4 linked regions of the Struthio camelus genome follow. The protein of the gene in region 2 interacts with the protein of the main gene of each other region in a pairwise test. Links are inferred from orthologs where the notes say so. Each region holds a gene or a part of one and is shown on either strand. Other genes may lie near its edges. The genes, in order: UBE2K, HTT, ZFYVE19 and GOLPH3L.

The links.
Region 1: the proteins of HTT (region 2) and UBE2K interact in binary tests that used the Homo sapiens proteins (3 or more experiments, as listed by UniProt). The link is inferred for Struthio camelus from reciprocal best matches to the Homo sapiens genes HTT and UBE2K.
Region 3: the proteins of HTT (region 2) and ZFYVE19 interact in binary tests that used the Homo sapiens proteins (3 or more experiments, as listed by UniProt). The link is inferred for Struthio camelus from reciprocal best matches to the Homo sapiens genes HTT and ZFYVE19.
Region 4: the proteins of HTT (region 2) and GOLPH3L interact in binary tests that used the Homo sapiens proteins (3 or more experiments, as listed by UniProt). The link is inferred for Struthio camelus from reciprocal best matches to the Homo sapiens genes HTT and GOLPH3L.

The regions. Positions count from the first base shown.
Region 1 is NC_090945.1:61,646,646-61,653,483, forward strand, and holds the start of UBE2K (ubiquitin-conjugating enzyme E2 K), read right to left. Parts: upstream 3,008-6,838; 5' UTR 2,679-3,007; coding exon 2,616-2,678; intron 2,013-2,615; exon of another isoform or gene 1,896-2,012; intron 1-1,895. UniProt on the Homo sapiens protein: Accepts ubiquitin from the E1 complex and catalyzes its covalent attachment to other proteins. In vitro, in the presence or in the absence of BRCA1-BARD1 E3 ubiquitin-protein ligase complex, catalyzes the synthesis of 'Lys-48'-linked polyubiquitin chains.
Region 2 is NC_090945.1:76,792,788-76,800,008, reverse strand, and holds the start of HTT (huntingtin), read left to right. Parts: upstream 1-4,219; 5' UTR 4,220-4,347; coding exon 4,348-4,448; intron 4,449-7,221.
Region 3 is NC_090946.1:40,768,459-40,775,605, reverse strand, and holds the start of ZFYVE19 (abscission/NoCut checkpoint regulator), read right to left. Parts: upstream 3,009-7,147; 5' UTR 2,878-3,008; coding exon 2,824-2,877; exon of another isoform or gene 2,581-2,823; intron 2,236-2,580; coding exon 2,114-2,235; intron 2,102-2,113; exon of another isoform or gene 1,543-2,101; coding exon of another isoform or gene 1,357-1,542; intron 322-1,356; coding exon 268-321; intron 1-267. Other genes in the region: PPP1R14D (protein phosphatase 1 regulatory subunit 14D), read left to right, coding at 1,357-1,542. UniProt on the Homo sapiens protein: Key regulator of abscission step in cytokinesis: part of the cytokinesis checkpoint, a process required to delay abscission to prevent both premature resolution of intercellular chromosome bridges and accumulation of DNA damage.
Region 4 is NC_090971.1:2,590,930-2,597,961, forward strand, and holds the start of GOLPH3L (Golgi phosphoprotein 3-like), read left to right. Parts: upstream 1-4,013; 5' UTR 4,014-4,441; intron 4,442-5,174; exon of another isoform or gene 5,175-5,257; intron 5,258-5,408; 5' UTR 5,409-5,420; coding exon 5,421-5,591; intron 5,592-7,032. Other genes in the region: HORMAD1 (HORMA domain-containing protein 1), read left to right, coding at 1,948-2,028. UniProt on the Homo sapiens protein: Phosphatidylinositol-4-phosphate-binding protein that may antagonize the action of GOLPH3 which is required for the process of vesicle budding at the Golgi and anterograde transport to the plasma membrane.

The sequences.
Region 1 (6,838 bases), about 15 Mb from region 2:
TTGCTGCTGGTCTCACCTATTTATAGTTCAAATATTTAAGAGACACAAAGTTACAAGGACCTTTATTGAATGCTCAATAGCTGAGTCCTTAAGTTAAGGTGTGAGAGAGCTTATAGTAAAACTGGAAATAATAAAGCCAGTAGAGTAAAAATGCTTCCATTTCTCAAGTCTGAAAGGATTTTAAATGCTTTTTCAAAAATCACCCTGTTTCAGTCCACAGATGAATATGGGAAAAACACACAGAGCAAAGTCTGTATGTGTTCCTTTCAAGCACCAAAAAATGCTATTTCTGCCCATATTGGATCTGCAGAGAAACAAACTGGCACTGCTCTTTATGTTCAGCTGTAGTTCAAAGCCTCAAATAAGAATAATCTAAGTGCATGTAACGTGAGCTACTTTGCCTTCAGAAACGGACTGAAATTTCTATATAACAAATTTAGCATCACTTATTCATGACACAGAAAATTTTTAAGAACAAGGGTCAAGAACTGCTTAATTACACAAAACATGTAGGAAAAAAGACTTCTTCAATTTGTAGTATTTAGTTATCCCTCCATTCACCATCTCACTCCACATGTTTTTATGCTCAGTGGTACTAACACCATAGCTTGACTGGCTTTGAAAGTACAAACATCCACAACAGACTTGCTTGTAACATAGAGAACCACAGATAAATGCCTAAATCACGTACTCAAGATAGGGGAGATAGTAGTATCTACAAAAATGCTGTTTACAATATGTGCTATGTCAGTATTCTACTCATATGTAGCTTGATAATGGCAGAAAAAGACGACACATGAAACTCTTAAAAATGCTTTAATTTCAAAATTTCATAATTTTAAAGTTTCATAAGAATTGTGGCCTTATCATATCTGAAAGATGTTGTCTAGCTTAAGAACTATTTTATAATATTATTTATTTCCAACACTCTATACTGATCCCCTCCAATGCGTAGACTAAACAATCAGGAAAGGAGAAAAATGTGCTCTCTGGACCCAACCTTTACTGTAAGGAAATTCAGGACGGATCTCACCACAGAATTGCATAGGTTGTTTCTCTTTTTCCTACATAAAGTAAGGTGAAAGGGACTTGAACCCTTTAGATAGTACCTTCAAATGCAGATACAAATGTTGTTCCCACAGTATAAAGTTATATGGAGTACTGGTTTTGGACTCTAATTCTGGCACAAAGATGGCCACCTAGAAATTTGTCTTAGTTTACACCTAATTGTGTAATCACTGTGCAAGAGCTTAGCAAAAACAGCCTGGGCTCCAAAGGTAGCTGTAAAACAAGGCCCTTACGTTTTTATAGAGGCTAGTTCAAGCTGCATAGCAACAATGCTGTTAGCACACTTAATTTAAAAGCGCATCAACTACAGCAATGGCATCTTTTCTGTGAGGTATTAGTATCTTCAAAAAATTACTGTCCTCTTGATTTTCTTCTGCGAATGTGTCCAGATTTCTAAAACACTAGCTTTAAGAGTTACACGTTCACATTAATATTTCACAGGCATCTAACCTGCAACATCATCCCAAGTAGGACGACAATGACGACACAACTATTAAAACCTATCTGGTTGTCATTCGCCAACTCAGATCCAGACACAGCAAGAATTGTACTGATGCAACCCTGCAAAAGCTGCTACATATTCCCAATAACAGATCAAAACTTCTTTTAATATTTTGCCCAAGGTAGTAGTCAGCTCCTCTCGTTGACCACCACATACCTCTCGATAACATGAGCTGCTTCAGAGAGACACTATTTAGAAAGCCAGAAAACGAGAGAACAAGAATTAAATGAGTATGGTTTTAAAACCATCCACGTTAAGGTGAGTTAACCTACACTGGGATAAAGGAAGTTCTGGATTAAAGTAACCTAGATAAAAAGGGACTTACCTGCAACCTTTTAAAAAATAAAACACACACTCCGCAGTCTCTGGCTGACCAGAGAGGTGAGTTAAGGGGGATGTGTGTGACCACGCATCCTGCACCTCGGCCTCACCGATGCACCTCGCTGCCTCCGGGCCGCCAGGGCCGCGTGCGGCGATGCGTGCCGCGGCACCCGCGCGGGCGAGGGTCGCGGGAGCGCCGCGCGTGGGAGGCCCCACCCCGCAGCGCCCGGCCTGGCAGCGGGCTCCGCCGCCTCGGCCGCCCACAGCCCGCCCAGGGCGGAGGGAGCCGCCGCCGCCGCCGCCGGGGGCTGCCCGGCCCGGCCCCCGGCCCTCGCTCCCCGCCGCCGCCGCCGCGCTTCCTGCCGCTGGCAGGCCGGGCCCCGCTCCCCCTCGGGCCTCCGGCGGCTCCCGCTGCCCGCGGGGGGAGGGGCTCGGCGGCCCCCTCCTCCCCCCGCCGCGGCTGGCGGGTCCCGTCTCCCCGGGAATCGCCATTCCCCTCCCCGAGGCCGCGGGCCGGGCCCACCCCCAGCGCGGGGAGGTGGGGCCGAGGGGGAAGCGGGGTCCCGGCGCAGCCCGGCGGGGAGCCCGCACCTTCCCCCGCTGCCCGCACTCCCATACACACACACACACACACACACACACACATACATACATACATACATACATACGCGCACGCACACACGGCGGAGGGTGGCGGCGCCAGGGGAGGGGGAGAGGCTCTGACCTCCTCGCTCTTCAGCACCTCCTTGAACTCCCGCTTGATCCTCTGCACCGCGATGTTAGCCATCTCCGCAGCGGGCACCGACCCGCACCCACTCGCCGCTGCCTCCGCGCCGGGCCCAGCGAGCTCCGCCGCCGCCGCTCTCGCTGGATAACTCCCGGCCCCACCAAAATGGCGCCCGCGCCGAGCATGCGCGCTGCGGCACCCGGCTCTGCCGCTGCCGCCGCCGCCGCTCAGGAGGGGCCGCCGTGTGCGCGGAGCGGAGCGGAGCGGTGCGGGCGCCGAGGCTCCCCGGCGGCGGATGGGGGGCGGGCGCCGGCCGCCGGGGAGAGCGCGAGGGAGGACGGTGCGCGCCGCGCCAACCGCCGCCTCGCAGCCCCTTCCTGCCCGCTGTCCCCGCGGGGCGGCTGCCGCCTCCGTCCGCCGCCGGCCCCAGGGAGGTGCCGGCCGCTCGTCCTGACCCGGGCAGGGCTCGTTTCCTGCGGCGGCGGCTAACGCGGGAGCAGCGCTGGGCCGGCAGAGCCCTTGCGCCGCCCCCCCGCCGGCGGGCCCCGCGCCGCGGCGGAGCTGGGTGGCGGCGGTGCGGTGACACGGCCCCGCCGCCGCCCCCCGCGCAGGAAGCGCCGGCCTCTGCGAGCTGCTCACGCGTCCTCTCCCGCAGCGCCTGGGCAGAGCTAGCCGGGGGGGGGGCTTTCCTCAGCCGAGGGACTCCGTTCACCCCCCTCCCTCTCCCCCCCTTTTTGGGGGGGGGTTAAACGGCAGTACTCTGCGTCTCCCCTGGCTGCGATCCCGCCCTCGAGAGGCTGCTGCCCCTCAGCGGGGACGGAGGGGGCCAGGCCGGGCGGCGGGGAGGCCGCTCGCCCCGCTCCTGCTGCAAGGCGTCGGGAGGCGGGGAGGAGGCGGCGGCTCAGGGCCGCCTAACGGGCTGCTGCGCTTTATTGCAGAAGCAAGCACTGCAAGGCACAGATAACAGAAGACAGAAATAGGTGCCCGTAACCATCCCCGCTTGCCCGAGGAGGGCAAAATGTGGTATGTTATGGGAGAGCGCAGACAGATTTTCAGAAGGGAGTATGAGGTTGCGTTTACGACTGTTGTTCGTTTGGGAAACTAGAGGCTTTCCAGGCTTCAAGGTCTACAGAAACGCTTTACAGGGCCTCCCCTAATAGTACAGTGTAGGGCTGTGTACGGCATAAACGCTTATCCCAACAGGGAGCATTTCTGATTCTTGGGAACCTGACTGTAGTGGCTTATGGTTGGGACTTGTCTGCTCGTGCTGTGGCTGTCCTCTGCAAACACTTCATTTATCTCCAGTGATGCACACAACATTTTCACTGTTATATAAACATTAAAGAAAGTATAGGCCCAATTGATTAAAAAAAAAATCTGGCAGCTGTTTACAGATGCATATATATTTTTTCTCTGTGTATTTACTATTCCCCTGTGATTTGACTGGGAAAAGTCCATTCTCCTGGAACAGTGTTGTATCATGTGCATCTGGCTCATAGAGTCAGCTCTTTCTTTGTATCAAAGCTTGTTTTTGACACAATATGCATTTGACGCAACGTTTTTCCAGTTTTTATTACCTTTCTGAAAAGAACCATTTTGCATTAAGTCTGATTTCTTTTTAATGACTTCCAGTGTAATCTTGGGCCTTCAGCTTCAAAATAATTTAGACAGCTAAGTCCCACTGACGTGCCTAAGTTCCTTTGAGGAGGTAGGCCATAGCTTCGCTATGCCTTAGGTTCCCACCTGTAACATAAGGGTAATAATTCTTATCTGCCATAATAATTCTTATCTGACTCGGAGAGCTCATAACTGAAAGTTAGGTTTATGGTATGCTCAGCTCCCGTTGCATACTATAGGCAAAAATTATAAATGCAGTACATAAAATCCCTGAGTTAAATGCCTTATATCTTTTCAGACAGCCCACGGTAGTAAGAAGCTGAGCTTCTAAATATGCAGAACTTGCTCTGAATGGAGTCGAAAACATGACCTTTATCAAGTGTCAGCATTCTTTGTGTTCCTGTGAGCGTGCTTGTATGTTATAGGTAGTAGACATCCAGTAATAGCCCCAGTAAAGTAAAGGGCAGTGATTTTGCCTGGTTTGTATCTGGGTTCATTTCCATGTGCTCATTTGGATTACAGATGTCAGAGTCTGTTACTGCAAAAAGCAAATCAAATTAATGTGAGTGCCTGTATCTGTTTTCCTTACTATGTTCTTCTCATTTCCTTTATCCTTATATACGCATCTTTCACTTATTTCACGATTGTTTCATATTCATCATATGCTTCACTGGCCCTCCGTTTTAGTTGTCCTTTTTCTGTTCATTTTCTCTCTGGTAAAATAAGGAGAATGTAGGAAGGCTTTTTGGAGAGTAGAAAGAAGTGGTGGTAAGTCCTACCACAATTAGAGTACTGCATGTAATCAGTACCTGATGTAATGAGTATGCTGGGGCTGTCATATTATAGCTTTTATAATATTTTATAGTTTACTATATTACAGAAAACTCTACCTTATTTTAAGCCAGAACAGGACCATAGACTAGCAGTTTCCAAATAATTTTTTTTGGTAGGATAAGAAAAATGCTTAGAAAGAAAACTGCTGAGAAGTAAAATGAGAACATACTCAGCCTCTTCTTGTGATTTCAATGACTTCGCATGTCTGACTTCATAATATACTGTATAGTGTGCTGATAATACTGTTCTGTGTATAACCTCTGAATTAAGTTCTCATTAGTCTTCCACCCTTAGAGAAATCCATATGCAAAATATGAAACAGAAGTTAGTCCTTTGAACATAGCTCATTTTTTGTATTATGAAATCCTGTACTATGTCTTATTTCAAGAGATAGTTCTTCTATTAATCCCATCATCGATTTAGGTTCATAGCAAACAGTTCCTTCAATAACAGCTTTCACAAACTGGCCACAAATCGGTCTATACTTTTGCATGTTGGTGTTGATCATAACTAATAGACTGGGAGGCACAATTCCAGGTATCCATACTTTATTCAGTATGTTTGCTATATTGCTTTGAAATATTTCTAGAACGGGGTGCAGGAAAGTTGGTGAATTAATGGAGGTTCTGACTCCATAAAGTTATTTCAGGAGGAATGTTTAGAGTCAGTTGTCTATAAACTAAGATCGGTGATCTTAAGGCATCACCTGAGGCCCTCAGTACGAAAGGACTGACAATATTCATCACCTCTGCTGGTATAACCAAACATCCTAAACAATGTTTTGTTTCCTGTATTAGATGGTTCAGCCCTACAACCTGTACGTAGGAAATAGTTTTCCCCCTCATTTTCATGGGAAAGTGGCTATTGTACGTGGACAAATTGCATGGGTATGTTGGACTCACTTGCTGCGTATACAATAAAGTCACTGTGTTTATGGTTCTTCTGACTGAGAGTATGGGCGCCCCCCAACCCTAGCGCACTGCCTGGGGGGGCTTCAAAATATTTGTGACAGCACCAGGTAAGATTAAATTTCTGTTCTTCAAATGGTTATTCTTAGAGATGTCTTTATCATTTTCACATTTTTCTATTTTTATTCTCTTTATATCAGTAGGATATTTTTCTGTTAGAATTACTCAGAATTTGGAATTATTTTGTTCCCTCTGATCAGAAGAAGAAAGTGCCGTTTCTGAAACTGTAACTTTCCAGCATGCAACGTTCTGTTCCTTCTTTTGCTGTATCTTCTTTGTGTCTTGCATAACAAGACTATTTCTTCCCCTCATCTTGGCCTCTTTAGTTTAGAAAAATCAGAAATGTCAGGTTTGATCTTCTCTCGTTGTTGCTGGAGGACTTCTTCTAGGACAGCAGAGCTGTCTCAGGAGATTTGTATGGTGATTTCAAACACTTCAGAAGCAAAGGTTGAATCTGTTACATATTTCTTGTTATTGGTTTTTTATCTTCATGAGCCATCCATAGAAGGATTAACCTTACAGGCAGTATTAGTAGTAGATGGTATTCACTTTTCATTTAAATGTTAATATGCTCATTTATAACATGCTTTATTAAAAAAAAAAAGTGACAAAGGAGAAGCCCGAAATATTCAAAAAACTAAGATGTTCTTAAATTTAACCCTTTTTTCCCACCTACCTTACACACTACATCTCTCTTGTTGTCATCCCAAATTTTTAACAGAGAGGTCTGTGTGCCAGAAATTGTCTTTATATACATATCACTTCGCACATTTTGGAGACTGTGAAAATAGATTTAGCCTG
Region 2 (7,221 bases):
CTGGCATTTTTCCACTTTAAATTTGTCCCTTTTGTCTCCATGCAGTGAGTATGACCTAACTCCTTGTGCAATTTACTAACTCTAGTACATGGACAGGGAATAAATACATTAAATCTGCAAAGCAATGTGACAATCCAACAGCCTGACTGCTTTGTTCTCCTGGTACAAAATAGGGTAAAATTTATGGAATTCCTATGGAGTTACTTGTATGAGATCGATCATTCTTGTCTGTGGTTTGTTTCCAAGTATTTTTGTGTGTAAGTCTTAGCGTTTGCTTATTCATACCTCATGAATATATATATTTAGCTCAAAATTCAGAAACTGTGAAACAATATAACAGTATCAGTTTATTTTTGAATGTTGTGACTGACCAATAGAATTAAATCTTCATGCCTCAGGGTTGCTTTCTTTCTATAAAAACGTAAGTTTTGCAGAGGTAGTGTTCATAATAAAGATGGCATCATGTTTTTGTATTATAACAACATCAAAACAGCCCCTATTTAAAAAAAAAAAAAAAAAAAGAGCACTTAAAAATAATTACTGTACAATAGAAATAGGAAAACCTGTGGTATCTCAGAAACAAGGAGATAGCTATTGTCAAACCTTAATCTTTAATAAAAAATGCTATATCTTTTTAAAATCGTTTTTAAAACAATAGATCTGAAGGCAAAAATGAATTTTTAGAATACTCTTCAATTATTTTTCAAATAATATAGATGGAAGGTATTTCTCACTGTCGTTTATAAATTCCAAAATATTGTTTACAAGTTACTGAAAATAAGTCAACAGAAGTAGTAGTATTTCACTATTGTTTACAATTTAGTATTATAATAATTTATCACCTCTATTCTCATGTTGACTTCCAGAAAATACTTCTCTCTAAGTACTCACAAGTTGGAATTAATTTAAAACTTTAATGGAGAACATCTTCAAGATAAATTTATGTGCTTTTTGGTGGTTTTCTAGGTTTTTGTTTTTTGAATGACCTGTGTTTGGTGGTAATGATGTCTCTTCTGTATGTATGTATGTGTGTTTTTTTTTTTTTTTTGTAATTGTCCATATGGTGTAACTTAATTTAAGTTTTGCATGTGACACAGGTAATTTCTCACATGTTCTACATGTGTCCAGAACACCAGAGTTCTTTCCAAGTATAACTATTTTGATGGCTAAATGTGATACGTTGGTTCCAGTATTTCCAAACCACTGAATTGTTCTTGTATGAGCTGTTTTCCTGGAGGTTCTAGCGTTTGTTGTTCCGAAATAAAAGCAAAACACTGCCGCATGTCTAAATCACATGTATTATTGTCTAATGTGATTTATTCACCATGTCTCTCTTGGCAACTGAGGTAGATAATGGAAAAATTATATATATGTATATATATTTTTTTAACTCACAATTTGTTGAAATAGAAAATGTGTATTATATGTTGTAATTTCTTTACCAATGTAAGACTGTCAGATCCAGCAGAGAGTACCCTAGCTCTGTTGTATTTGCTCAGTTGATACCTGAATTATTAGTCCGATTTCTAGTTTTTGCATACATATTGGTGTGGAAATGGAGAATTATGGTGATTGTCTATTTTTGTTAATATATTTATTGTGCTAACGTTATGAATGTGAGTGCAAGACTGATCAGGAGTAGCTGTGCTTGTGATTAGTCTTGCAGATACTGAATTGTCCATAATGAAAGGAAAGAACCTAGACATCGCTCCTTGAGAGAATTTATGGCGAGTCACTAGTCAGACTTTTTTTTGAATGCTTTTCAACAATAAGCTGCTTGTATATCTAAATTTTCGAAACCTTGTTGTTTTTATGCAATGGCTTTCCCTGTGATTTTGTAACTTTTGAATTGAAGAAATAAGCACTCAATTGCTATACAAAACAGCATGTGTTTAAGTGACTTTAATGGTAGTATAACTCTGCTATGGCATATAGCAAAATACCTGAGCATATGTTCCAACTACATGAGTTGTATAGTCTCATGAAGTCTATTGGACGATTTATCCTAGTAGTGCCAAGTACCTGCTTGTGTTTGTGGAGCAACAGAAATGTAGAAATGCAGAGTCAAGACTGACTTTAGGAGAAGCATTTGTACTGAGATGAGGCCAAAAATATTCTTGACGTGCTCGTCTAACCTGTTCTTGAACGCGCTGAAGAAGTAGCCTTCAGTAGTTAAAAGTATTTCGCAAGCCTATGCTTGGGAAGCCTTTCCACATTCGTGACCTAGATGGTCTTCCTTTTAGGTAGGGTAAAAGCGTTGTTTCTTCTGTTTTCCTTCTGGAGGTGGAGACAGGTTTATCATCATTTACTAAGTTAACACTTTGTGTGTTGGTTGTTACTCCATTGAGAATGTGATTTTTTTTTTTTTTTTTTCTTCATGGTAATGATGGCTTACAAAACTTGCCGCTCTCTAACCCAGCTTGCTTGTTTCTGCCCCTTGCCAGTTTTACGTGCCTTTATTTTTTTAGCCCCATCTGTTTTGTGACCAGTGACGTGATCCATGTTTTTGCCTGTATCTGTCAATTTGAATTGGGAGAACCTATTACTATCACACTTGCCAAAGAAAAAGCCCAAGCCAAGATATCCCTGGGTGCTTTTCTTCCAGTTATCCCAACTCGTGTGTAACAAACGCCAAGACAGTCTGGGAAGACAAGAGCAAAGAGTAGTGCTGCTTTAGAGGCGTGTGTTGCCTTAGCATATCTGCCCGTGAGTCAGCAGCCCTTAGGGGACTGGTGCATGTTTTAATCTAAAGCTTCAAAGCAATTGTGCAAAGCCTGACTTCATAGGTGGCTTGTTCAGTCTTTGATAAGAGCTTATGCTCTTTTTAAACATGCTTAAACTTATTTCAAAGTTTGGAGTGGTACATGCAATTATGGGGTAGTGAATGCAGCCTTCCACTCGTCTTTTTTTTTTTTTTCATGTATCGTTTGCTGAATAAAAAATTAATGATCATCCATATGTTCTGGAGAAAACTCTGCAAGTTTAAAAGTTCTCAATTTGAAAGCGTACATATGTTTTGTCACACATTTATAATGAAATTGGGGCTTTGTTATAGTTCAGATTGCTTTCAGTACTGTAGAGATACCCTTTGAAACGTTCCTCAAAGTCAATCTTATTAACACACTAATAGAAGTGTCAGAGAAATGTTTTATGGACTAATTGGCAACAACCATATCACTTGTTCTCTGTAAGGCTGTTTATGGCTTTTCCAGCGTTTACATCAAGGCTAGAATATGAGTTGTATAGGGGTAGGAAACTTGTGCCCGTGGGCCGAAGTTCAAATTCTGCTCCATCACAGAGATGGACATAGGGAACACCGCGGGTTTTTTTTTTTTTTTTGCGATTTATTTTTTTCCCCCTTTGCAGGCACGTTGTTTTAACTTCAGAACAGGAGCGGCTCTCTCACCACTTCAGTGCGTATAAAATGTATCAAAACGTCCTCAGAAGGGGCAAAGCAGGAAGCCTGAGAGGAGTGCTGGAAGCCGTAGGTTGGTAAGGATTAAATATCTTGCTCCCGTAACCGTTTCCTCTTCTCCACAGACACCTCAGGCCCGGAGCAGGCTAAAATAAAAACGGAAAAGCTGCTACCGTTGGGCAGGCTTGCCGGAGGGGTAAGGGGCACAGCCGCCATGCGCCCACTTGCAGCGGGGCGGGGGCCGGTACCTCAGCGCGGGGGCAGCCGCCCCTCCCCCAGCAGGGGGCGCGGCGCCGGCCGCGCTCGACGAGGGGCGGGGCCGGCGGGGGCGCGTGATCGCCGTTGGTCCGCGCCACTTGCTGGCGTCTGCCTCAGCCGCTCTGCTGTGACCTTTGGGAAGCGGCGGAGTTATCTTCTTTTTGATTGGTCAGCGAGGTTGTCGCTCTCCCTGTTGCCCCGCCCCTCAGCTCGCCCGCGTGCCTGGGTGTGCATGTACCTACGTTAGGGGTGTGCACGTGACTCAGGGCTCGGCTGGGAGGGGGGAGGTTGCGCATGCGCGCTGGGCGCGGCGTTGCCCGTGGTTGGAACCGGGCCGCGGAGCGGGCGGAGCAGCGCAGGGAGGGGGCGGGGCAGCGGCGTGGGGGATGACGGGACGGATTGAAGATGGCGGCGGGGCAGCAGGGGAGTGCTCGCGGCCCCCTGCGGCGTCTCCCTCATTCATTGCGGCCGTGACGGGCGGCTCGGCGCAGCGACCGCCACCGGCGCGGCCTGCGGCGGCGGCGCCTCGGCTGGCTTGAGCGCGCCGGGCGAGCCGCGGGGGAAGGCGGGGCAGAGCCGGGCCCGCGAGGAGGAAGGCGGGCGCCTGCGAGAGGGCGGAGAGGCGCGTCGGGCCGGTGCCGCGACCGGCGCGGGCGGAGCGGAGCGGACTGGACATGGCCACCATGGAGAAGCTGATGAAAGCCTTCGAGTCGCTGCGCTCCTTCCAGCAGCAGCAAGGGCCGGCTGCTATCCCCGAGGAGCCGCTCCAGAGACCGTGAGTGACCGGGCACGGGGAGGGCTCCCTTCCCCTTCTCTTACCCGCGCCCCGCAGGCTCCTGAAACATTTCGGTGACATTCTCCCCTGGGGAAGGAGAAGTCTTATCTTATGTCTTCCCCAACCTCCTTCTCCTCCTCCCTGGGCTGCTGCCGCTCGGGAGCTGCTGACGGTCTGAGCGACAGCTGGTAGCCGGGCGCTGCCCCGGAGGAGTTACCCTCGGGGCGCTTTCCTCTCCTTGCGGGAGGCTGTACTTGTGGACGTGGCTAGGAGCGCTGCCTGGCGCTAGTTTTTTGTTTGTGAATTTTAAAAGTAGCGGTAACTTTCTGGGTAAATGCATTTGACCATACAGGGGTTCGGACAGTGGACAAGAGAGAGAGCGATGCTGTATCGCTTTCATGGGCTGCTTCTAGAAAGCAAAATGTTATTTTCAGCTAACACACTGTTGAAAAACAGCAGAAAATGAGCATGACTTAAAGTCTAAGCTCTGAATACATTTGGGGTAGTTGACGTGAATGTCTATTTATGACAAACTTCATTTGAAATCTTGTCCTGTGACTGATTTGCTGTGGTGATTACCAAGAAGAATTAATTTAAACGTTTCTGATGTCCTTTTGCTTTCTGAAAACATTAGGGGCAAACACATTGAAGAGGCATCTTTTTGCATCCGTGTGATGTTCTGGTGTCCCATCCTAGTGCTTTATTGGAGGACAAAGGCACGAAGCTGTTCAGTACCAGAGTGCTGCCCGCTACATTAGCGTTCTCTAAAAATAAACTTTATTGAACAGGTGAAAAAGCACTGAGATTTTTACTAGATAAATACGTGAGTCACATTATTGTTTTTGCTCCAGATATCAGTGAAAGAGGAGAAGCAGAAGGGCTGAGGAGCAGGTAAGTTCTAAATTGGCAGTTTGAGTGTTTTGGCAGACGATGATAAGCAGTGGAGCTGGGCTCTTAGCCACCTGCTCCCACAGTACACTCTGATATGTTTGCCAACTAAATTATCATGGTTCATACTGTTTGGAGAGTGTTGTCTCAAACAATCTCAGTGCGTTTTCACACTTTCAGGGCATAACGGATGAAAAAGTTGGCTCATCCCTCCTTTGTGAGCCAGTTCTTTTTAGATGTCTTTCTGTTTCGCAGGGACTTATTGCTCTATGAGGTGCTTTTTTTTTTTGTGTGTGTGCTAGTACTTCATGTGACATGGTAGGTGGACATCTATTTCCAATCTTTCTTATATGGAGTGGGGAAAAAAAATCTATCTAAAAAGTTATCGGTAAGATAGATCATGTTCTTAAAGAAAGGCTTGTTAATTATTTGTGATGCTCAGTGAGGGGATGTGATGCTCAGTGAGGGGATGTAATGCTTCTGGTTTGAGGTTCTGAATTTAGGCCTGGTATACTCAAACCATTAAAAACCAAGGTTTGTAATTGTTCTTGCTGACTATGCTTTGTGTTTAAAAATAGACTGCATATTTTCAGAAAGCTGATAGTGTTGCATGCCTCCAGGAACTATACAAATTCAGTAATAGCACTAAGCCTCACCAAAGCCTGTGAAAGGACCTTGTGGCAGTCTTTGCTGAAGAAGTTTCCCAAACTTCTGGTTAAATACCAGGTGACATCTTGAATGTAATTCACACTTCTGTCTGTGTTTTGTGGTAATGGACTTGAAAGGAAAAATGACAATGCGTTTTCCTTACCTTCCTGGGAGAAATGATTGTCTTAATTGTGGTTGTGTATAAGTCGCACTTAAATCTTTTGTTGTTCTGTATGGTAACTTCCTATCTCTTATCCGTGTACTGCTGTAAAAAGGAGTGTCACTCTCTCAGTCGATAATGAGAGAACAAATGAATTGGTGAATGTCATAGGCAAAGTGCTAATAGTTTACTCTTCAATTGTTTCGTTAAATAGACATTTAACGCTGTCTGTTAGATTGGAGTTGCCTTGTTGCCTAAACTAGATGACAGGCTGACATTCCTTCAGTTGAAGAGTAATCTCATTATTACAGAATTTATTAGACAGTATTGCTATGTGGTACACGTAAGTGGGCAGAGGTTTTTTTGTTGTTTTTGTTTTTAAGTTCAAACAGTAAAATGGATTGCAGTTAAAAAGATGTCTAGGAAGTGCAGGCTTGAAATTTTATGTTTTCAAGTGCTTAAGAAGCTGCAATTAAAAAGATGCAAACACGAAGAGGATGGAAAGAGCTTGCGGGAATGTAAACTTGAGGACAGCCTATTGTTAAATAGGGAGTATTTCAATGAAAATCCATGTGAAAGAGATGCTTGGGATGTATACCCTCTATTGCAGTAGCAATGTCTTTTGGCTACCATGAAAGTAAGATCGCTGCTGATCTCTACTCTTTTTCTTATTTCAAAATAAGCTACCTTAAATTTTAACAACATAATATTACCTCTACAAGATTAAAAACAAACAAACAAAACCTCCACACAAAACACTTTCCTATTAGAATAGGCAAAAACTACCTTTGAAAAATATTGCTGGTAAAAACTGAGCATTCTGTATCTGGTTAGTGAATGAGTCCTGCTAAGGGCTCTTTGACTGATGCTATGAAATGTTATAACATCACAGAGAAACTGGAGTACAGTAAAACATAATTGTTTGCACCAATGTTTTGAAGTTTTTTTTTTTCATTTTATTCTTGTAAGATAAATGACTTTTGTGGTCTTGATAAAACGAATATCCTAGCTTTATTATTAAAATAGTAATTGAATTCAAGCTTTTGTCAGGGAGGTAAGAGCTTTTTCTATTTTGAG
Region 3 (7,147 bases), on a different chromosome or scaffold from region 2:
ACATAACTAGGTGGCTGTTCAGGAGTCTACTCAAAAGCAAAAACAAAAAAACAAAACAAAAGAAAACAAACAACCCCTTCCACACATCAAACCAAACCCACCCTCAAACAACAAAACAGAAGCTCCAACCTTAATCTAATTCTGAACAAGCAAATACCCACGTTGCAAAACCCACTTTCGATGATTCCTGTAAGGGGAAGAGGAGAGAGGGCCTGAAAGGTTACCTTGTGGCAGAAGCCAATGGGTTGTTTGGCAAGTGCAACTCACTTTTTGTAGTTCTCCGGTGGTGACCATTTTGCTGAACTGCTTTGAGATCCTTCTCTGGAAGGCAAAAATAATGCTCTCTCCAAACTCAAGGTCTTGGCAGTGCTTCAGTCATCCATTCTTTTAAACCAAAAGGAATTACCATACGTGTTTATCAAACTCTTGGTATAGTCCTTTCATAACCTCACTAATATGGAGAGTGATCAGTTTAGGAAAGGTAGTAGCTGCCTAGGACAGCATGGGACCTCATTTTTAGTCCTTTGTTTCATGTCTGAATAAAATTTATTTAATATAGTCATCAGCGTTCCAAAAGAAAAGAGGCTGAAGTACCCTTGCCCCCCCCACCCCCCCCAGCCTGCATCTCCCAGTTCAGAAAGCAGATAGAGAACAGTTAGCTAAGACTCCCAGTGTATTTAGCTCCAATATAGTGGAACACTCTGAAAGGAGTTATGCCATGCGACAAACACAGAATTATATAGCGCACAACCCTAACTCTAAATGAAACGTTATAAACAGAGTTATATAACCAGCAGTATCATAATGACATCTAGCATACCTGAACACTGCATACCACAAACACATCTTGTGTAACTCTGTGTTCTGACTCACTGTGTTCAGGTTAAGCAGCTAAACTTCACACTTATGTCAGGTGGTTAGTACATTCTATTCATTCCTAGAAGTTACAGCTACAAATATATCTGCACTGTGCTAGGGGCTGTATAATTACAAACGAAGGCAGTGTTTTTGCTGGACTGCTTTCCTACCAAACGTTTTCAGTTCTGAAAGCTGTTTCGCATGAAGAACATCCATGCAATCTGTGTGACTTATCTATCTGCTGTCCAGTAGGGGGATAATTTTGTCTTCTGTAACTCTACAGTACTGACATTAAACAGATATGAAAAATCAAAAGAAATATGAGGAAAGGCTGACTTCTTTTCTGAATATCTTTGGACATGTAAAGGGAAATCAGAAGTTTTCCAAAAGGAAAGACTGTGAGTATTGTATTTTCACCACTGATAACCTCGCACTACTTCAAAAGCGCTGGCTCCTGAATATAAAGACCTCTGATAACATAAGGTTCTTTCTCTTTAGACAACTGCAGAACAAGAATATTCCCCACTTGCTGGTGAAAATTCCTTGCTATATGAGAATGAATGGGGAGGAGAAGTAAGAGAAATACAAGAGAAGGGACAGAACACAGAATTGGTAGAGAGAGGTTCTGGCATAAGTTGTGCTCTTGCGTTACCTGTGTATGCGTACAACACAAGCTGCTGCTGAATTACATTTTTTGTTTTCAACAGCCTCCCTACATGTTATGTTTGTGAAAATATTATTTTTTTCTTTTAAAAGAAAATCGATTTTACACTACAAAATTTAGGTCTTCAGGCTACATGCAACAGAGACCTCTCAATAATAAGGAGCTGTGTCACTGTTTGCCTACAGAAGTAACACTTTGCACATCTTGTTGCCAGGTTGTTCTATTGCTACACAGCTGAAAAGACTGCTAGGGTTATCAAAAGGGTGTACCTTTCTAGGCACAAATACTGTGGGGCTTAGCTGGGTCCCATGTGGCAAGGATACCCACAGGCATCCAGGGTCTATCCATGACAATTTAAAATTGGCTCTTTCAGACTACACTGTCACCATGGAGAACAACCTCACACACACTGACTTACATGTTCTGACTGAATAGCCCATGAAGAGCAGTTCAGTAAGGGCCTAGCTTGAAACTCGAGGGCACAGGCAGTGTGTGCAGGCAAGTGCACAGCCTGACTCTCACAGAGACTCTCACAAAATGAGGGACCAAAGCAGGACACTGTCTTTGGGTGAAGAAAGACTCCCACCTTACCCAGTTAGTTTTCCATGACATTGCTTGCACACTTTCTGCGGAGTGTTTCCACAGCGGGGAACAACAGCACTGAAGCTAAGGCAGCCAGAGCAGAATGCCCGTCCGCAGTTCTTACATCCACACTGAGGAGATACAAGAGAGAGGCAGGACAGGGCTTCATCACCTAGCCACCACACACACCACATTTCTCTGAATGACCATATTCAGGAACAATTGCCTTGCCAAGGTGCACCAGAGATAAAGCTGGAGGTAAACGGATTTTGAGGAGGACTGTATCATTAGCTGCTGCTGCAGATATAACTGATATCAGTCTTCAGCCACCAGAGTGTAATTCCTGTTGGAATCAGAGATGCCAGATCATCCCCCTGCCTAACAAAGTGGGTGGGAGATTCTTTCCTCTGAGATACCCACGGAACATTGGATTAGACAGATGACAAATTCAATCCTTTTTTTTTTTTCTTTTACAGTGGTCTTTATGAAGATACAGTGGCGTTAAGGAGCCACAAGAGCCCAGGAAACAAATAAGGAAAACGACGCTATGCCGCTCCTCAGGCAGCGTGCCTGGACGCTGACCTAAAGCCCTCACGCTGCCGGAGGTGCCCGCGGCACCGCCCGGGCTCTGCCTCGCAGGCGCTCACGCCGCTTCTGGCCTGCTCAGCCGAGTCTCCAGGGAGCACAGGCCGCTCCGGGACCCACTAAGCCAGACTTGCCTCTTTCTTGAAGACCGTGAATTTGGACGCGCAGCCATAGCACCTGTTATCCATGGCGCTGCGGGGCACCCGCCGCCCCCGCTACACCGAGCTCCACAGATTTGCTTTCCCCCTCTGCGGTCCTTGTTTAACTTTCACAGACACGCAGCGCTACCACAGCCCGTCACCACCCACAACCGCGAGACAGAAACACCGCTCCCCCGCCTCCCACAAACCGGCCCCGGCGCGGCGCGCCGCCCGACGGGAGTTGTAGTCCCTCGGCCGCCCCTCCCGCCGCAACCACAGGGCTCTGCTCCATGAACAAACTACATCACCCAGGGTGCGGCACCGCTCCCGCGCGGGGCCTGCTGGGAGCCACCAGCTGCTGCCCAGGCGGCTTCCGGTCCGCTCGCGCGGTGCATTGTGGTGCTTGTAGTCTGGGGGCGGCCGCAGCGCGCCCTTGGGCGGCTGGGGCCGGTGAAGACTCCATTTCCCGGCGGGCAGCGCGCGGGCGGCAGGGGCGGGGAGGGAGGTTGGTCCTCGCGAAGATGGCGGCGCAGGGGGAGGGTGCGGCTGCCTTGTACGCCCGGCGGGGAAGGGGGTCACGGGTGGGCTCTCGGGGCCCGGTGGCACTTCTCCGCGGCGTCCCCTCCTCCCTGGGCGTGGACACGGGGCCGCCCTGCCCCGTGGCAGGACAAATCGCCTCATGAGGCTCCTCGTCCCTGCTGCCGGCGCTGTGCGGGGTGGCTGCCAGGAGCTCGGGGGGCTCGGCCCGCAGGCCGCCGTGGGCTCCCCGTGCTTTCTCTGTGCTCAGTGCCTCTCGCGCTCCGTTTCTGATCGCCGTTGTTCGCGTAGTAACAACAGTTGCTGGCGCTTTTGAAATGGGACTAGCAGGCTAGGGTGTGGGGTGACTCTTAACAGTGCTTCCTTAATTTCTGGATATTGACTGAAGTAATTATTGAAAGCATTGTTTCAGTAGGGCATCGCTGCTGTGTGCACTGATGTGTGGCATGCTCCCATACTGCGTCTGTAGTCGGTAGGGTGTTGCATTGTTGCCTATTAGCTGTTGCTGGCTGTATTTGTTAATGAGACAAACAGTGCATTTTCTGATGTTGACTCAGTTGCACCCAAGATATTTTTTGGTGTGTTAAACCTGTGGGTGAGATCCTGTTTCAGAAGAGTGGGAAATGAGCTGAAATTAACTGAAAAATTCCAGTTAACTCTAGCCAGTATTTCTCCCAGTGTTTGTTTACATACATTGAAAAAGAAATATCCTACAATGTTTGCCAAAAAAAGTTATTAGATGTAGTTTTACGTACCATAGTTTCACATGAGCCACCTAGTTAATTTTGTGGTTTTACAATAAATAACATTTTCCTTTATTTACTCGTCTGTTTAATAGATAAGTCCACAGTGTAAAGTCATGCACAATTAAATTTGGAATTTGACTAATCTGTTCAAGGAAGTAAGACTCGTTAATTATCTGAACAGAGCTAAACTTAAAGGAAAAACTTTGGGTTTTCTCCCTCAAGCTTTTTTTTTTTTTTTTTTCCCCCTCAATACAGTGAAGAGCATTAGAAATTAAAAGAACAATTGCATAAAACTTGGAAGCTAAAATATGGGCCTGTCCAGCAATTGTATCAGATGCCACCTGAAAATTCGAGGTACTACAGGCACAAAACAGAATCAAGCCAAATCTAAAATCACAGGAGTGACTCAAATAAAAAACTTATTTGGCCTTGCCTTTACTGCTGAGCTGGTCAATAAGAAAAGGGGAAGAGAAAATTTCAATTTAGATGTTACAGTGCAATTTACAGACTGACAGGTGTAATTTAGAGTGCCTCTCCTTAATATAAAATACTGGAAGCAACCCAAAGAATCTTTATGTTCAGAGAGCATCACCAAATGAACAAGAGAGAGCAAGGCAGTTAAAGAAATTTAACTTAATTGTTTAGAGAAGCTTCAGAGGGATTTGTCATATGCAACTGACAGTCGTGATCGTGATAGGAGAAGATTTCACTCCCTCTTTGCTGGAGTGTTGCTTATGGAGAAGAGGGAATTACCATGTTTCAAGAGGGAATAGCATCATGTTTCAGCTGCACGTTTACATTTACTTACTACTGACCACCAGGTGGTGCCTGGCTCCCGTTTAGTCTTTGCAGGTTCTTCACCAGAAGACTGCTTGGCAGCCTAACAGCTGCAGGTTTTCTCTCTTTTCTTGCACGCAGATATTTCCTATGATAAAGGGAACTCAGATTATTAAAATCCGGTGTGGTGACTTAGGCTATAAAGTTTTCGTTTGACATATAGGAGAGTTTAAACGGTCTTTGGTTAATATTCCTTCATCTCAACAAAACTCAGTTGTTGCATAGAAAGTTGTACATTCTCTGCCTCGAGTAGTTATGGCTGCACGTGCTTTATTCTTCTGACTTGCTAGAAAACTGTCCCTAAGTGTGTTTGGCTTGGTCTTGATGATCTTGCAGCTCAATTACTATAATGCGATGTACCTAGAAGTAAATCTTACGGCCTTGAAAAGTTCAACTTGATTCAAAAGGTGACTGTATGACTGCTCAGTCTCCCAGGCTGCAATGCTTCTCCTTACAGTTCAGTGTGATAAAAAGGGCAGATGACTGCATTGAAATTGAAAACTGAGTTTCAGTAGCCTTTTACTGTCGTAGTAGGCTTGTTTCCTTCTTCCAAATGAGGAATCAATTGTACTATCAGCGTGCCAAAAGCTGCCTTTATTTTCTGTCAGGCCTGGGGGCTTCTAGTCATTCAAGTGAACGTTGGCTCAACCACACTTATTTACTTATGTAAGAGAAGCGTATTTTAAATTAAGCAAAAAAGACCAATAAGTAGTAATTTTTTTATGTTTCTGTAATGCTCTATTCCAAGTTGCTTTTTTCAGCAGCGGTAATTAGCAAATCTCTGTTCTGACTTTTACAGGTTAAGAAAGCATACCCTAGAAGGCCCTGACTTGCCACTTTGATAAGAACGTGGACAATCCCAAAGCAGGTAAGATTGGACTGCATGGACACAGATGCTCTTCTTGCCTGTCGCATGTGCACAGATTACTGGAGGTGGCTCTGTTCTATCACAGTTTTGTCTTTGCATGCAATTAAGGTAGCACCTGTTTTTGTTTCATGTGGTGTATACATATGTGGGAATAAGATATATTTGTCACTGCTAGGTACCTCTAATTTTTAAGGTTAAATGCTTACATGTTGGTTTTCAAAGATGTTTTAAGTGAATGCTGAACTTTAATTTGAACCTCTCAAAATCCTCCTGTGACGATATTCGAATCCTGGACCTTTGGCCATACTGTCTTTGCTGTCTACTGGCTGTTTGCTCTAAATTCATATATCTCAGAATCTGAATATTAACAGTAGCTTATGAATCATTATTTATGGACAATGCCCATTGTGAGAGGATTATTGTCTATAAAAGACAAATCCCTTTACACTGTTCAGTTGAGTAGACCTGTTAGCAAGGTCTGTGGAGTCTACAGCTTCTCCATTTAAAATTTGGAACTAACTGGGTGAAAATGAGCGGTAGTCTTTACTGAAAGAATGCCATTCATGAAGGTATTTATCAAAATAAATGATGCTCTCTACCTTGCATTTTCCTGTTTGGCAGGCCACAGATTTATAGACAAATAACGTATAATTAAAGCAGAGACTGCCAGCAGGAAACCAGAGATTTGAGCAGAGCTTAGAGGAAAGCTAAAGGTTTTGATTTCTGTAGAGGGCTGGAAGGTGGTTTGGATTGTGTGTGGGAACTCCAGCTAACATGCTTATCCCTTAAGGAAAATGATTAATAAGGACCCCTAACAACTGATGAAAAATGGAATGTTTAGCTCTCAGATTGAAAAGCCCTTGATCTGAAAGAGAAAAATTATTTGTAACTTTATATTTCAGGGTGTCTGCAGATTCAGGAAGGAATGCGTTCCTGTAACAGTACTGTTGAATTCATGTTTTCAAGACAGATAAGATTGGAGTCTTTCGCCAGGTGCATGCCCTTAGAAACTTGCCTTTAGGGTCACATTGCCACATTTTTGACTCCCACTTAACCCCATATTTCTAGGGACAAGTTGCAAGAATATTACTGTATAATATAATCACTGCTTCGCATGTTGTCCATGGTTGCTCCTTTTCCACAAATATGGGTGAGCATCTAAAACGTTGAACCTAGATGGCCTGGTGTGGAGCCCACATCAGGCTATGAGCGGGGAGCCTCAAGTGATACTCATCTGACTTATTACAGCTGATGGCTTTGACTGTATTTAAAAGAGAGACCCAGTTCAAGTTTGCATAAAATAGGAGTTGTCATGGGGGTTATTACTTCT
Region 4 (7,032 bases), on a different chromosome or scaffold from region 2:
ATTTCTGTTTTCTGCTCTTTCTAAGCCTTTTTCTGTTCCAAAGAGAAAAAAATTCTCAAGTTTTAATAGAATACATGTTGAAAGAAAGATTCTCATCACTTAGAAAATTCCTATTAGCATCAAAACATTTGGATTCCTAGTGTCAAAAAAAAAAGTCTGTTCCAAAAAATTAAAAGCTGAGCATTACAGTAGTTACACAGGTTGAGAAAGATTCATTAGGATTGACTTATTTTCTCAAGAATGCATTTAGCCAAATTCCCTGCTGGTTTAATCCATTGTTGATATGTGTGTGTGCCAGTAGAGATCCCAGCCCAGCGTACCATATGATCACTAGTGATTTTACTTGGAAAACACAGAGCCATAATTCTAACCTCAGATGTGTGACTCATTCATACCAAGAAAAATCCATTATTTCTTTGGTTATTCACATTGCAGCAGACTTATTTAGTCTGTGCTACTGTGGGGAGCCAGATTCCTTGAGTCTTGTACAGGTGGAATAGAAGTTGTCTTTAGGATGGAGCTTGGCCTTAGGAGAGGGTATTGGGTACTCATCTGTCTGTGGCTGCTGCCATTACCCACTGACCTTGGTAGCTTTAGCGTTTTAAGGCTAAGGGGAGCCTCTAGTCTGTATAAACCTGGAATTGTAGCCTCTGCTCTGTGCGGAACTTGCCACAGTACATGTATAGTCACTTTGCTATACCTCTATGTACCTCTTATTTGTGAACATTGAGAGTTATTGGTATGCTTTTCTCAGAAAAAGCAATGGGGTGAATACTACCGTTCTTGTAAATAAAGGCTCTTCATCATTTACAATCAGGAGAGGAAATTACATGTCATGGCTAAGGAAAATCATACCCTTCCTGTCGCCACTCAGGAAAGCTCTTCATTAATTTTTAATGCAGGTTACGGAACAGTAGTTGCATAAGGATTTATAATGTGCTACTCAATAGTTGCCAGTAGTCGTCTTCTAAACTAATAGTTGCTTTATTTCCAGAAAGGTTGATGAAAATCAAGCTTGGGAACATTGCAAAATCCGTTCCTCGGCAAAATGTTCTAAAGAAATCCAGAAGAGAAACTGGTCTGGGCCATAAAGTGTGAAAGCAGCATGCAAAAAGAGCTATCTAAGTTTGCCACAAATTCACAAAGCGGAGACATAAAATTCGGAAGATTTTGGTCATTTTCAAAAAATACTGCTTATCACTATTAGAGTGACCCTTTTTTACTTCCAACCTCAGGTTCATAAGCAGTATTTTTGAGGTTTGTTAGTCACTACTGTAAAAAAGAGCATTATTTTCTGTATGCTCATTTGTCAATATGAACTTAATAGAATTTTTTAAAATGCGTTGTTTTAAATAAGCAGAAGCACAACAGGACTGAAGGCTAAATTCTGGTCGTTTCCTACATGTCCAAGTCAGAAATAATTTGATAAAACCAGCAGGCCTATGTGGTGCAGATTGCCCTTTCCTGTCAATATGGGGCTCTCCGGTGTCACACAGAGCCTTCCCTGTGTCACCTGGAGCTGCTCTACCGTTATCTTGAGCCACTGTGTGCCTCACAGCAGCTCCTGGAGTTGGACTTTCGGGTTTCTTGCCTATACGGAGGGCAGATCTGGTCTGGGGAACAGTCCTGAGAGGTAAACTTGGTACATTCTGCTGAAGCGTTACACGTGGGAGTTCCTGCCCTTACAACATAAATACATCTAAGCTGTTCTATAGTAATTTCGGTGGGAAATTCTTCGAGAAAATAGTATCCAGATATTATTCCAGGCTTAACCCCTTTGGGCATGTACCAGATAATGGCACGGACTGGATGCTCAATGCACAGCTTCTGACACATCACACCGCCGAGTCTTACTCGGTGATTTCCATGTTACGCTTGCTAATGCAGTGGAGCAGGCCATAGTTTGTGCAGCACAGCAACCAGTAATGCAGTATTTTTCCTTGGCAGGTTCATCAATTTGAACTCTTCTCTAGTCAAGATGTGCTACCAAAAAGGAGAAAAATTAGTGAACCAAAGGAGCAGTTTTAGACATCCATCTCCCTGCTGTTCACAGAATTCACCTCAATATTGCTTCGATTCGTTGTTTAATATGAATGTTAATATTTAAATACCATTTGGGGATCTTTCCTGTTTGATTTGTAGTCGAAATGTAGTGTATTTTATATCTAAGGGAAAAAAAAAATCTGTCAAGCCCAGTTGAAGAAATTGTAAGTTTTTTTTTTTATAGAAATGTGTATTGCCATCTGGAAAGATAGAAGGTACTTAGCTAATGATGCAATCTCTGAAAAAAACATCCATAACAAAGATGATTTGGGGGGATTTGATTCTCTGCTAACACTGTGTGTGTGCCCATTAACTGAAACACGAGGATATTTCGCTGATCGCTTTATCTGGGCTGTATTTAAAACTCGGGAACTCCTTGTTCGGAACCTACCCAACAGGGCGTTAAAAACTGAGCTCTCGGGTTAATTTCTGGAGCTTTATCAAGCAGGTTCAGGAGAACTGTGTTGTCAGTTACAGCAATATTACAGATTTTCTTTTTACTACATAGTAAGCAGAACTACTGGAGGTTTAGGTGGCCTGATTCCATGTATTTCCTCCAGACTCAAGGCACCAGACTCGAGATAAAAAGCATTATTCATATCTTCATATTTCACACCAAAATGCAGGATTTGCATAGAGCTGTGATGTGATCTGTGTGTAATTACAAGCAAAGTGCTAATCTGTGGCAGGCATCTATTATATTAGTGTAAGATGGAAAAACTTGAAAAACAAACCTATATGTATGTGAAATGATTAATTGCAGGAGTCAAAGGGTGCCATTTTTATTCTTCCTAAACAATTAATTGTTACTTTTTGTGTACTGTGAGTGAATTGGAGTGAAGCTGTTTATGCATGGCTAAGGGCTACTGCTGTGTTTAAACTGGATATGAATAGCTGAACATTTCTCTTTTTTTGATTAACATCTTTTTATCCTATTCCTCAATTAAAAGAATGTTATCTAACAGTTTGCATGTTTCTTGACCACTCTGATTGGAGTACGTTTTTTGAGTTTTAATGAAATGCTGGTAATATTTTGGAATTCTAGCTTAATAGGGTACAGCCACTTCATTTTGTTTGAACCAGGCTGGATGGGGACCACACAGCTTTGATGGGAGTGGAGGGCTGTGGGCAGTGGGTCAGAGTAGGCAGGGAACAAATTCAGTGAAGAACACGGAGGTGGTGAATGTCTTCTGGTCTGTGTCCATCCCGTAGCTGCAGATCTTCCTTCTGCCTGGTGGGCTTTTCAGACTGCTCTGTTACCCTGTGTCCCAGATCCGGGCTCCCCGCTCGCTCCAACGCTGCATTTTTGTGTGTGTTTTTGGCCAAGGGATTGGATATTAAAGGAGCTAAGCTGGCACAATGTTCAGGTGTTATCCCTTTTCCCTCAAAGCTGTCCAGAAGTGCCTTCTGGAGAACCATCAGACTGCCTTGGAAATGCAGAGTCTCCTTGTGCAGCCTTGTAATATTTTAATCCTTTCGTCTCAACTGGTGGCAATGCTCTCCTCTCGAGGAAGGCTCCCTTCCCTTGAGTTATCCCAGAGGGCAGAGGAGGAGACTAGTTGAAAGGATGTTTTCATAGTGAAAACTAGCTGCACTGGCAAGAAGGTTACCTTAAAGCCAGAGCCCTGCCTGTCCTCGGGTGTGGGCTTCAGTGGCAGTTTGGAGAGGGATTCGTAGATTTGCAGCAGCTCATTTCTCTCCAGTTCGTTGCACTGAACCGGATGGCTGGGATTTAATTATCAAACGCTGTCATTGCGTAGCCTCAGGCTTTGCCAGTTTTGCAGTCTGATTTAACAAGATTTCCTTTGCAACTATTTATGAACGTATTTATTCACTTTTACAGCCAAGGGCTCCCCTTTTCCCTGCCTCAAGCTGCTTTCTGCGGGCGGAAGCCTCCCACCAAGCCCTGCCTGACCAACACCGCAGCCTTGCCCTCACCCAGGTGCGTGTGAAAAAACACGTTGCACGATTTGCACAAGGCACCGGCTGCTCCAGCACCCTCTGCCCAGCAAGGCGGCACGGGGAAGCGGGGACCGAGCGCTGCCAGCCCAAGGGGGACAGGCAACCCTTGCCCCAAGCCCCGGGGCCAGAGCCCTGCAGCGCTGCTCCACACCCCGGTGCCTTCCTCCCGGAGAGGAGGAGGAGGAGGAGGAGGAGAAATCCCACCCTCTGCCTCCCGCGCTGCCTCGGCCCGCTGGCCGCGCTCATTGGAGGCTCCTCGCCTTGGAGGCTCCCATTTGCCGGCGCTGCGCACCGGGCTGGCTTACCGGGCACCCAGGAAGCCGCCAGGCTGCTCCCTCCCCTGCCTCGGCTCACCCAGGAAGCTTTTTCTCTTCCCCGGCTCCAAAGTTTGCTCGCAGGAGCCTCGGGGAAAAGGGGGGGGACCCGCCGAGCACGGGTAAGGCTGGCTGAACCGGGCGATTTGTTATTCCGGGTTGCGTTTCTCAGGGGCCCGAAACTCCGCCGGGGAAAGGAGGAGGAGGGAGGCTGCTGGCCCGTGTCGGCCTCGCAGTTTGCGCGTTTCGGTGGGGGGGGGGGGAAAGTTGTCAAATCTAATTATTGCTGCGTGGGGGCTTGTGCTGCAGGGAGAGAGGAGGTGGATGTGTCTTTCCGGCTTCTTAATCTGTTCCCGGCGTGTGGAAAAAGGCTGCAGGAAATATTCCTTCCCCCCCCCCCATCCCCGCTGCCCTTGTAGCGCTTAAATCTCAGCCCCTTTCCTGGCTTACAGTGGCTTTTTAACGAGACTCTGCTGCTCCTGCGAGAGAGGGTGATTGGGGACCGAGGGTCGGGTTGAGGATAGGGCAGAGGCTGGGGATTTAGGGTGTTTGTGGAAGGTTTTGGGTTAGCACCCTGGGAGTTTGAAACCAAAAGGGGCAGCTCATTAAGCTCCTTAAACAGATAAATATCAGCTGTGAGCAGCTAAGTTGTAGAGAAGGGAAAATAAAAGGGAGAACAGCCTAGATGAAGGTGCTCCTTTGTCGTTGCCCTGGGGCTCTGCTGGGTATCCAGCATCCAGGACTGGGTGGGAGAGCCTGAGCCTTAACCCCTTCTCCATTACGTGTGCGTGGCCAGGAAGTCCCCTTGGTCAAAAGATTTTGTCGTGACTCAAGTTCCTTGTTCCCTCTCTGAAGGTGCAGTCCTCTCTTCAAACGTGTCGCTAAGTTACAGGCAACCACTCCCTAACGGTGACTCTTGTACAGCCATCCTGGGAGGGGTGAGCTGAAAATTCCCGGGGGAAAAAGGGGAGGGTTCCCTCAACCTTGGGCATCCGTCCCTGGAGTCTGGGTTTCAGGTCTTAGGGCTTCGCGCTGTTGTAGCCCATCGTGTTTAGACGTGGCGCAGCCTTTACCTTCCTGTGCTCCTAGTTGGAGGCGAAGATGACAACGCTAACGCATCGAGGACGAGGAAAGAACTCGGACAAGAAGCCCGACAGCGAGGAAGACGCGGCTGCGGACAGAGACCTGAAAGATGAAGACGCCAATGACTCCAAAGATATCCGCCTCACCCTCATGGAAGAGGTGCTGCTTCTGGGACTGAAGGACAAGGAAGTAAGGCATTTTTCACTGGCGCTATTGCACGTGTAGTAGTGGAAGTGCTGTCTTGGCATATCTGGAAAGGAGGTTCTCAATATGCAGTGGAAGGGATTGTGCGAGTTCCTCTGCATCCACTTCAGTACAAGGTCGGCCTACTAAGCTCAAGCCACCATCATCTGCAGCTGAAACCTAGCTGTGGAGCTGTATACAGAAGCAGTTGATGAGGACCTTGCAAGTGCTGTCCCATCAGCTCTGCCGCAGGGACAGCTGGAGATGAGAGGTGCAATATAGTATTACGTTACTGCCATTTGCAGAGCAGAGACGTGTTTATTCTTTGCCATGGCCAAAGACTTACGGTAAAAGAAGCCACGCTTTGTGTCAGATGGTAAATGTCCTCTTCCCAAACGTAGATAAGCTTTCCTATCTGAAACCAGCAGGTGAAACACGAAGGTCTTTTGAGCACTGTTTACACTTTTCTAAAAATTGATACCAGAAACAGCCGGGGCAAGTTTTGAGAGAAGAGACAAGACGAGAGAGTGCAGCTGGACCAGGAGTTTAAAGCAGGTGCAGAATAAGTTTGAATATGGAAACGATAAGGGAGGTCGGAGCGGTGTCTCTGTTTTCAGAGTGTCCATGTCCTTAGCCAGGGAAGAATGGCATCTTGCAGCTCCAGGCTTCGGGGAAAAGAGGCACTTGCCTTGCCTGATGTGTGCCAGTTTTACAGCTTTCCTGGGCAGCAGTGTGTGAACTTCCCAGATGGTTGTTTTCAGAGAGAGGATGGTCTCTGCTGGAACGTGCATGTGAGCAAACTGATCTGTTTTGTGCTTATCAGCTGGTAGCAACTCGTTGCTCAAGTCTGCCTGGAATGAGCCGTTGGGACAGGAAAAGACAGTATCTTGTACTGAATTCTCCAATCACTTGGCTCTGAGCCGTGGAGCACTTATCTGTTGTTGCGTCTACGTGCTTCACCTTCTTTAATGCATGCGTCTTCTTGATCTCTTTGGGGGAAAGTGATACTTTTATTCCTATCAAACTGATGGGGAAATTGAGGCAAAGAAGCTAACCAGTTGCCCAGGGTATTTCTTGGAATGACGATGGCCGAGGAGAGCCTTAAATGCTGTTTTTTTCAGCTCCACTTCGAGTGCTTTGTGTGAGTCCATCTTCCTGCCCTGAGGAAAGGAGACGTTGTAGCTGTTAAAGCTGTGGTGTGGTTGCATAAGTGACAGAGGCTTGTAGCTGCCCTGTTGAACAAGCCTAGATAAGATCTAGGACTCACCAAGCTGAATAGGAAGTAACAGAAGAGCAAGGCTGTAACAGGAACATCACACAAATAACTTTGGAGCAAATATTAGAGAGTGCTTTGGGAGCATGGCATGGTCTGCTTTCTTCCTGGACAACACTGAGCATTCCTGGTTCGGTTAATGTGTATTTCTGCCTGGTTCCTCATTGCCCTCTC